Linked DNA regions of Oryzias latipes. The protein of the gene in region 2 interacts with the protein of the main gene of each other region in a pairwise test. Links are inferred from orthologs where the notes say so. Each region holds a gene or a part of one and is shown on either strand. Other genes may lie near its edges.

Region 1 (4,138 bases), on a different chromosome or scaffold from region 2:
GCATGAGTCACCCTACTATAAGAAATAAATCTGAAGAATCATAGGGTAACTATGCAGCCCCATCTAAAATATTAAATGCTCTCGTGTCCTGCAGAGGAACAGGAGCTTCCAAGAATGTTGTTGTCAAAGAAAATTAAACACAAGGTAGGTCAGTAGTGTCATGTGAAGATTGGCACTAAAATAACCTGCATCAGTGTAAAAGTGACAGATTACAGAGGTAACACGTTCAAACTGACACTCTCATCTTAACAGGAGGGAAAGACTATTAATGAAAAAAAAAGGTCAAACTCATATTTATCACTAGAAAAGAAAAAGAACTGAAGATTTTCTCCTTAAGGACACTGAACATCTTTTGGTCATATCTTTAACCAACATAAAGATCTGGCTCTTTAAACATCCCAAAGCCGAGCATTTAGTTCTGTGGACCACCTCAGAAAGTGAACAGGAGACGGGTAAGATGAGGACAGGGCCCTGCCGGAGCACTGAGCGGGCAGAAGCAGCAGAGCGTTAAATGAACTGCTTGTTTTAGATGCTCTACAGTGGATCTGCTCTTTTTTTTAGCCACAGTGAACAAGTTAAAAAAATTGTGTTCGCAAATTTACACCTAATATTAAAGATGTGAGAAAAAAAACATTCCAGATGTCTTGGAGATGAAAGGACCAGTGGTTTGATGAGGCTGAAAAAATAAAGAAATGGGTAGCTAAATTCATTTTATGTCTGATGGTGTTCTTTAACTATTTCCCTGTTTGTCTTTCTACTGGACAACAGCAAAAGAAACAAGTGTTCAAAGGGGTTTTGCTGCCAAGGATATGACTGTCATCTATCAGCATGACAACACAGGTTTGCTAAAAGAGAGAAAACAAAAGCAGAAAAAAAAGAAGTTGCCAACTAGATATGAAAAACTGACTTTTTAAAGGTATGAAAACACCTGCTACAGATTAGCATTAGTCTCTGCACAACCTGTCAACCTTTGCGGAAGCAGGAACATTGCACGTAATTTTACACTACTTTGGCATTTTTAGAATGAATTGATGTTTGGGGACGAAATGTTGAATATATCATGTTGCCTGATTATATTTAAATCAAAATTGCTCAGACAGTTATTTTACTATACGTTTATCATTAAAGTATTGTCTTAATTGGACTACATCTAACAATTTAGGGAGATTTAATAACCTTTTGTTATACACCTACGGTACTTTCCATCATATCCTGACGAAAGATGGATGGGCAAATAAAAACTATTTCTGACCTTTTTACTGACGTTCAGATATCATCAATGATATTTTAATATTAATGCTTTTCTAGCTAAAAAAAATATATTAACTAATAAAACATCAAAGAAAACATATCTGTGCATTTTGCTTCCCTTGATTCAACAAAATCATGGCACATGTGATGCAAAAACATGAAGAAAAAGAGAGGCAGCTCAACTTTTATCTTGGGCTGAGCATTTCAAACAGCGTGTGATCAGTCATCACTCTTTGACCTCTGCCTGCTGTGTTGCATCAATCACTGCCTGGCTAAACAGCACTCTGTGCAGAGCTAGAGAGGGTGCTGAAAAGGTGAGACATCCATCTGTGATGATGCACCCCTCCTTGCACACATACACTTTCACCTGAAGTGTTAAAAGAAAAACAGATGATGGCTGGATCCGCCTGCATAATCGTGCATGTGAGTAAGTGCTGAGAAAAACATGAATATTAAAGAAAGAGCTGCATTACTGGTTCAAATTTCGAAATAAAAATCAAATAACTCCTTGATTCTGTGGGTGAATAGACTCTGGTCCAGTTTTAGTGCCAACAGGTGACAGTAAACAACAGAAACAAAATAGGGAGAACAATCTTAAATACACCAGTCTTCAGGGGATTTTCAGCTTGCATTCCTTGGGGTTAAAGTTTGGTTCTTTCCCAAAGCCCCTGGCCTGATTCTTTAAAGCATTTCAATTTATTTTAAATAATCTGGTTATAGTTTCAGTCTGCACATGTGATGCACCTGCTGTTTCCTCCCTGCATGCTCAGAAACCTCATGTTTGCAGCATCACGATGCTGGATGATAACATCTGTGCACAAACCTTCAGTTCAACCGTGGCGCAGGAGTCACGCAGTATTTTCTTTTTCTTTAATATGCAATCCGCGTAAATAAAATCCTGCTTGTGCCTTTTTAGAGGACCACGGAGGGAGAATCACTTACACAGGAGCGATGGAAGCAGAATGACCGCCAGTCACAGCCTCTTCATCCAGATTCTGAGAGAGGAGGACGCAGAGAGATGCGTCTATCCAAGCGTCTAAACTTCCTGTCAGCCTCTCTCGAATACTTTTCCCTCTTCTGCCCCCTCGGCTTCTTTATTGTTTCTCCGTCAAGCAGGGAACGCAGGAGCCGCTGAATGGATCACGAGGTTTGTATTAGAGGAAGGAGGAGATGGGCGCACGGCGTGCGAGGTGAGTGGTTCCACTCCCAACCTGCATCCCTCCTGTGTTCCTATATTAGTGAAACAGCCGCAGCGCGGAACCACAATCGCAAAGGGTCGGAAAAATTGCTGTTTCTGGTGTCAAATCCTAGTTGTCAGAGCTGCCACCTGGACATCCTGCGCTCCACTGCTGTTCCCGCATGAGGAGGAGGAGGAGGAGAAGGAGGAGGAGGAGGCGCCGTGTTTGCTTCATTCACAAAGCCTGTGATGCTTTAATCAGCCTCTGAGAGAGTCAGGAAAACATCCCAGCATAATATGTGGACCAAATGAGTTCATGACCCCACTATTGTGCCTTTGCTTTACTTAAATCTGGATGCATTAATAAAGGAAATGGTCCTGCAGCACAAAAAAGCTGCATTTTTGTTGCATCATTTTAGCTGTTTCAGAAAATTGATTACATTTGTGCTCATTTTTGTGTGCAAAAAGCTGCAACCCCATTTGACAAAACAGCTTAGCCAGCGTTTTAACTGCTGATCAAAAAAGCCCCATTTACTTGTTGCAGATCAAATCCAGTGTTTTCCACAAGGTATGAGACCCCACCCCTATGAGTCATCCTCTGCTCACTGAAGTTACACCTTCAGCCCACATCATAATGTGTGCACAATGGTTAGTGCTGTTCCAGAGGTCTTCCACATGTTTAAATCTTAAAATGCTCACTGTAAATATTTGGATTTTACGGTTCATATGGTTTCTGTTTTATCATGCAGTAGGATGAAAACTGTAGCACCAGAAAGGTGTCTTATTTTGGCCACACTGATCTATTGTGACTTCATTTAACCTCAGCTTGGCTTAATCAAACAGTGCATGTGTCATATAAAAGTCAATACCAGAAATGCTTTTTCATTTACAAAATGAAGCTGCTTTTTCTGACACAAAATGAGAATGAAAAAGCAATCCGCCAAAATGCTTTTTCATTTTCTTCTTCAACACTGCTTATTCAGTCACTTAATTAAAATGATAATGAAAATGGTTATTTGACATTTCATTTTCAAAAGGTTCTCTGGTAAATGTGTAGCAAAATTCATTTAGAAATGTCTAATTTGATCAATAAAATAGATTAACAGAAATGCCATTTCGTTTTCAAAATGTAACTGCATCAAATGACTCAAAATTAAAATAACAAAATCAATACTTCAAAATGCTTTTTCATTTTCTACTTAAAAACCGCTTATTCTGTGTCATAATTAAAACCAAAATGCAAAGAGGGGATTGTATTTTCATTTTAACATCCACCCTGCGAACATTGTCGCATTATTCAATTCGACTTAGCATTTCCAGGTACAAGGTAATTCACCAACAAAAGAAGATACTGAATGATTTTGAATTGCTGGGGGAAAACAAAAACACTTCAAATAGCAGTTCTTTTTTCACTTTTGGCTTCTCCCATCAGGGGTTGCCACAGTGAAACAACTCTCCCTTGAGGATTAGTTGCATGGTTAACTTGGCAATGTTTTTATGCTGGATGCCCTTTTCTGATGCAACCCTCTCAATCCAACTGGGTTTGGGACCGGCACAGCAGCAGAGAAGGGAATAGGGAGCATCCCGGAGTCGAACCCTGGTTACACGGACAGAAGGTGCCGCAAACCAGCACGAGCTAAACTGGCCCCCACTTCAGATAGCAGACAAATGTATGTTAAAATGTATGTTAAATAAGTATGTTAATATTGT
Region 2 (3,950 bases):
TTTTGGGATCGGGGTTCTACACACATCAGGACAAACACACAAATACATCTCAAGTGCGCGTTTGACACGTCTGCACTCCAGCTCTCAGCTGGACAAATGGACAAAGAGGAAGTTGTGAGACAGTCGTTGGCGTAAAGTTCTATGTCCTCAAATTCTCGCTATGATTGGCCTACAGCTGCTGTGGGGGCGGGGCTTGCCACAGCGGCGGCAGCTCCCATGCGCAGCAGCTCCTTCCTGTGGGTGAGGATGACGTCGAAGCTGGACTGCAGGCGGTTCTGCTGCTCCTGGACGCGGCTCTGCAGCGTGCGCACCCAGCGGATCAGCGCCAGCCGGCGGTACATGGTCAGCTGCGCCTGGTGCTTCTCCATCTCCTGCACCTTGAAGCGCTCGCGGTCGCGCAGTGTCCACACCGTGTCCATCAGTTCTGGCAGCTCGCCATCCGAGTCAGAGGACTGGTCACCTGGGAGGCACAGCGCCCCCTCCAGGTTGCTCGCCTCATCTGTCTGACCCAGTTTGGGCTCCCCAACCCCGATGCGGTCCCAACCTCCAAAAGTAGGCGCCTCTCCGCCGCTCTCCATATTGAGAGATGACTGACTGCCGCCAGACCGGCACCTCACCTCCGACTCGGAATCGCTGTCTCCCCATTCGTCATCCAGCTCCTCGTCCTCATCCTGCCTCCCGCCCCCTTTTTTCCCATGGTGCTCCTTCCTCTTGCCACTCAGATTCATCATCATCATCACCTGCTCTTCCTCCATCCTCTCCTCCTCTGCCCCGTCTGGGGGAACGCGACCATATCCGTCATCGCCGCTCTCGATTTCGGGGAGGGGCTCCAGCGTTCTCCAGCAGGGGAGGCGAGAACGGGGCGACTTGAGACCCGTGTTCAGCTGGAACCCCGAGGAAGGCGAGGAGGAACTCGGAGGGTCGCGCCCCAACGCCAGGTTGCGGGGGCGCATCTGGTTCCGGTTCTCGTCTCCGGGGAGGCAGTCATCCCCTTTTTCGGCCAGGAAGTTGAAGTTCCTGTCCTTGTCAAACTTGCTGTTCTGCATCAGGGGGGAGGAGCTATCGTCTGCGTCCTCAAAGGCGGATTTCAGGTCCTGATGGTGAAGCATCACTGACCTCGACTGAGACTCTCTGAAAAGACACAGAAGATGGAGATGCTGGGAAGAGCAGAAAAGACAGAAGGAATTCAGAGGAACATCTGAGTGCGCTCCTCGTCTGAATCTTTTGTGAAACTATCTGGCGGTAGGAGATGTCGCAGGAGCGGGAAAGCTCTTTCATCAGCGTGCAGAGAACAACAGGACCTTGCATCAGTGGTGTGAGAGCTCATGGGCAACTTTGAGCAGAGAACCTGACAAACAGTGATCGCAGTCATGTAGCCTCAAGCAACAGAAACAAATGCTGCTGTGAATTGAAGGGGATCTCCTCAAAGACCCACTCTGATGAAAATTCTGTAACATGTTCTTGTGCTGTCTTTCTCATAATGAAGGACATATATGAAGAAAATTAAGCTTGAATATGTGTTTCAGAGTTTTTCTTTATTCTCACTGTGAATCAAACATGTCGCCTTTTCTATGCACAATAGGCACATCTATCTTTACAAAAGTTCGGATGTTGTTTGTTGTCATGGCAAGACCCAGACACGCTGCCAAGGCCGCCTCTAGGTAGGTGGATGGGTGGGTGCCGCCCATCAAGGAGCGAAAGGCGGTGCCTCGGGGATCGAGTCGTCTTACTTTCGAGTAGGAAAATGAACTGTGAAAATAACTCATATTTCAGTCCTTAATGAGCGTAATACATTATCATATATATGGATATAGTTTACTCTGAAACGCTCAAGATGATCTTGATAGCTTTACAATTTTTTTTAATAACTTTTTTTCTTCATCGCAAGTTATTCAGGTTAGAAAATGACCAATCGGATGCTATAAAAGTAGGTGGGGACCAGCACCTTTGCTTGTTGGAAGGTGAGGCCTTCCAACAAGCTCACTCCCGATTGGCAAGAGTGGTTGCCATAGAAACACTGAATAAAACTGGTCGACGACTGTATCCCGAATGAACTGACTTCATTTTGTTGGAGCCAGAAATAAGCCATTTTCTATGGGTGACGTCCCTCAGTCCAGTTTTCATATACAGTCAATGATCTGACCTGCATGACCAAAGTCTGCAGCTGTAATCCCATCCAATGAGTTCCCAAAGATTTTCATCTGAATATTCCTGATCACAAAGGTCAGAGGTAATTTAAATCATGCAGATCGTTAAATTATTGATGTTTTTCATATTTTTGGTGAGGAACATTGTCTTAAGCACGCACCAATTTTTCTTCGCATTTACAAAATCTCCATAAATGTTCGCAAACATGAACGATGCAAATGCAGCCGTATGGCAGCTCCTAATCCAGGTCACTCGTTCCAGCATTAAAGCTCCCATTATCCAGTGCGCGCGCGGTACAGTGCACGCGCGGATGCTTGCAGGTCACGCGGACAATAAAATCACTCTTCGGAGAGAAACGGTATCGGTTCCGTTCCAGCTGTAAATGAGACAGGAGACGCGGGGGCGCGCAGGGAGCGCGCGGAGGCTCCATGGATGCCGTCACATTGTCAGCGAAGATCAATAAAGGCGTCCAAAAATGACAATAGAAGCATATTTTCGCTGAATGCAGTGAGATGAGTGCAGCATCCGGCGCGTTGCGTAACGCTCACCCCATGTCCGCGCGCGCCTCTAAAATCCCCTCTCATCTACAGCCCGCGCGCCTCCCGCCGCTCCTGCACCTACACGCAGTCATGTATGCCGAAAGAGTCTCGATTCTTACCTTTTCTGACTGCTTTTCTCTCCTCCACAGACGCTGCTGGACGCTGCGCCCTCCCAGTGTCCCTCCTCTGACACTCCTCTGTGATGTTCTTCCTCTTCCTTTCTCCTCCTCCTCCTCCCTTTCTGATTCTGGGAAAAGCCAAGCAGCGACTCAGAGCAATTTCCGAAATTGGGTTGAGCGCAAAAAGAGAAAACAATGTCAGGAAGAGCTGTCACTGTTTGTTACTGATATGTGGTTTTTAGGCAAAAAAAACATAAAAAAAAAAAAAAATGTCGTTTTCTAGGACATATTATCTGCACAGCAGCAGGTGTTTATTAGTAATTCATGTCTGAGTTGTGGGTGGAAATGTTGACCCGGAAGTAAGCCTCCACTGATATCCTATCATCCCTTTGTCTACACCAGGGGTCCCCAAACTTTTTCCAGGGAGGGCCACATGACGTTTCCATTCTCTGATCGGGGGCCAGGGTCAGTTTAAAACAGAAAAAGTGTGACAGTGGCAGGGGTGCCTAAATGTAAACTGAAAGCTTCACATAACCAAATATTAAAAACCCAATCTGATATAAAAAAACCCTCTCTGGGTTCTTCACAACAAAAAAAAAAAAAGTAATAATCAGCAGATATATAAAAGATTCTTTATGAAATCATTAAAAGCAAATAACCCTCTCTGGGTTCTTCACATAAAAAGTCAGGAAATATATTGTAAAAGTATTTTAGATATAAAATCGATAATAAACAAATAAATCTCTGTGGGTTGTTCTTCGGTAAATGTGCAGAATGTGAAGAATCTCTTCAATAACTCGTATGAGCAGTCTCTTTAGGTTTTTGTGTTCTTTCCTTATAATCCAGTTTTTGAGGTTCCAGGAGGCTGGCTTAGTAGACTCCACTGTTTGTTTTCTCTGATTAACTTCCTAGGTTAAATACCTTGCATTCTGGATCAATGTTTCCCTTACCAAACCATTCATTTTTCCGTTTTGATGTGGTGGTGGTGGGGGGGTCACATTCAAGTTTTCTGACTGGGGCAAATATTGGGCCATTTTTATTCAGGGGCCCGCCCACCCATAGTTTGGGAACCCCTAGTTTGAGGTCTACACTGTCTCCTGCTATCTTACAGCCCTAAAACTTCAAGCTAACATTAGCAGTGAAA

The links.
Region 1: the proteins of c11h1orf216 (region 2) and myrip interact in binary tests that used the Homo sapiens proteins (3 or more experiments, as listed by UniProt). The two-hybrid records come from large-scale screens. The link is inferred for Oryzias latipes from reciprocal best matches to the Homo sapiens genes C1orf216 and MYRIP.

What each region holds. Positions count from the first base shown.
Region 1 is NC_019878.2:15,054,341-15,058,478, forward strand, and holds the start of myrip (rab effector MyRIP), read right to left. Parts: upstream 2,801-4,138; 5' UTR 2,194-2,800; intron 1-2,193. UniProt on the Homo sapiens protein: Rab effector protein involved in melanosome transport. Serves as link between melanosome-bound RAB27A and the motor proteins MYO5A and MYO7A. May link RAB27A-containing vesicles to actin filaments. Functions as a protein kinase A-anchoring protein (AKAP).
Region 2 is NC_019869.2:20,028,148-20,032,097, forward strand, and holds the start of c11h1orf216 (UPF0500 protein C1orf216 homolog), read right to left. Parts: upstream 2,801-3,950; 5' UTR 2,702-2,800; coding exon 2,697-2,701; intron 1,132-2,696; coding exon 159-1,131; 3' UTR 1-158.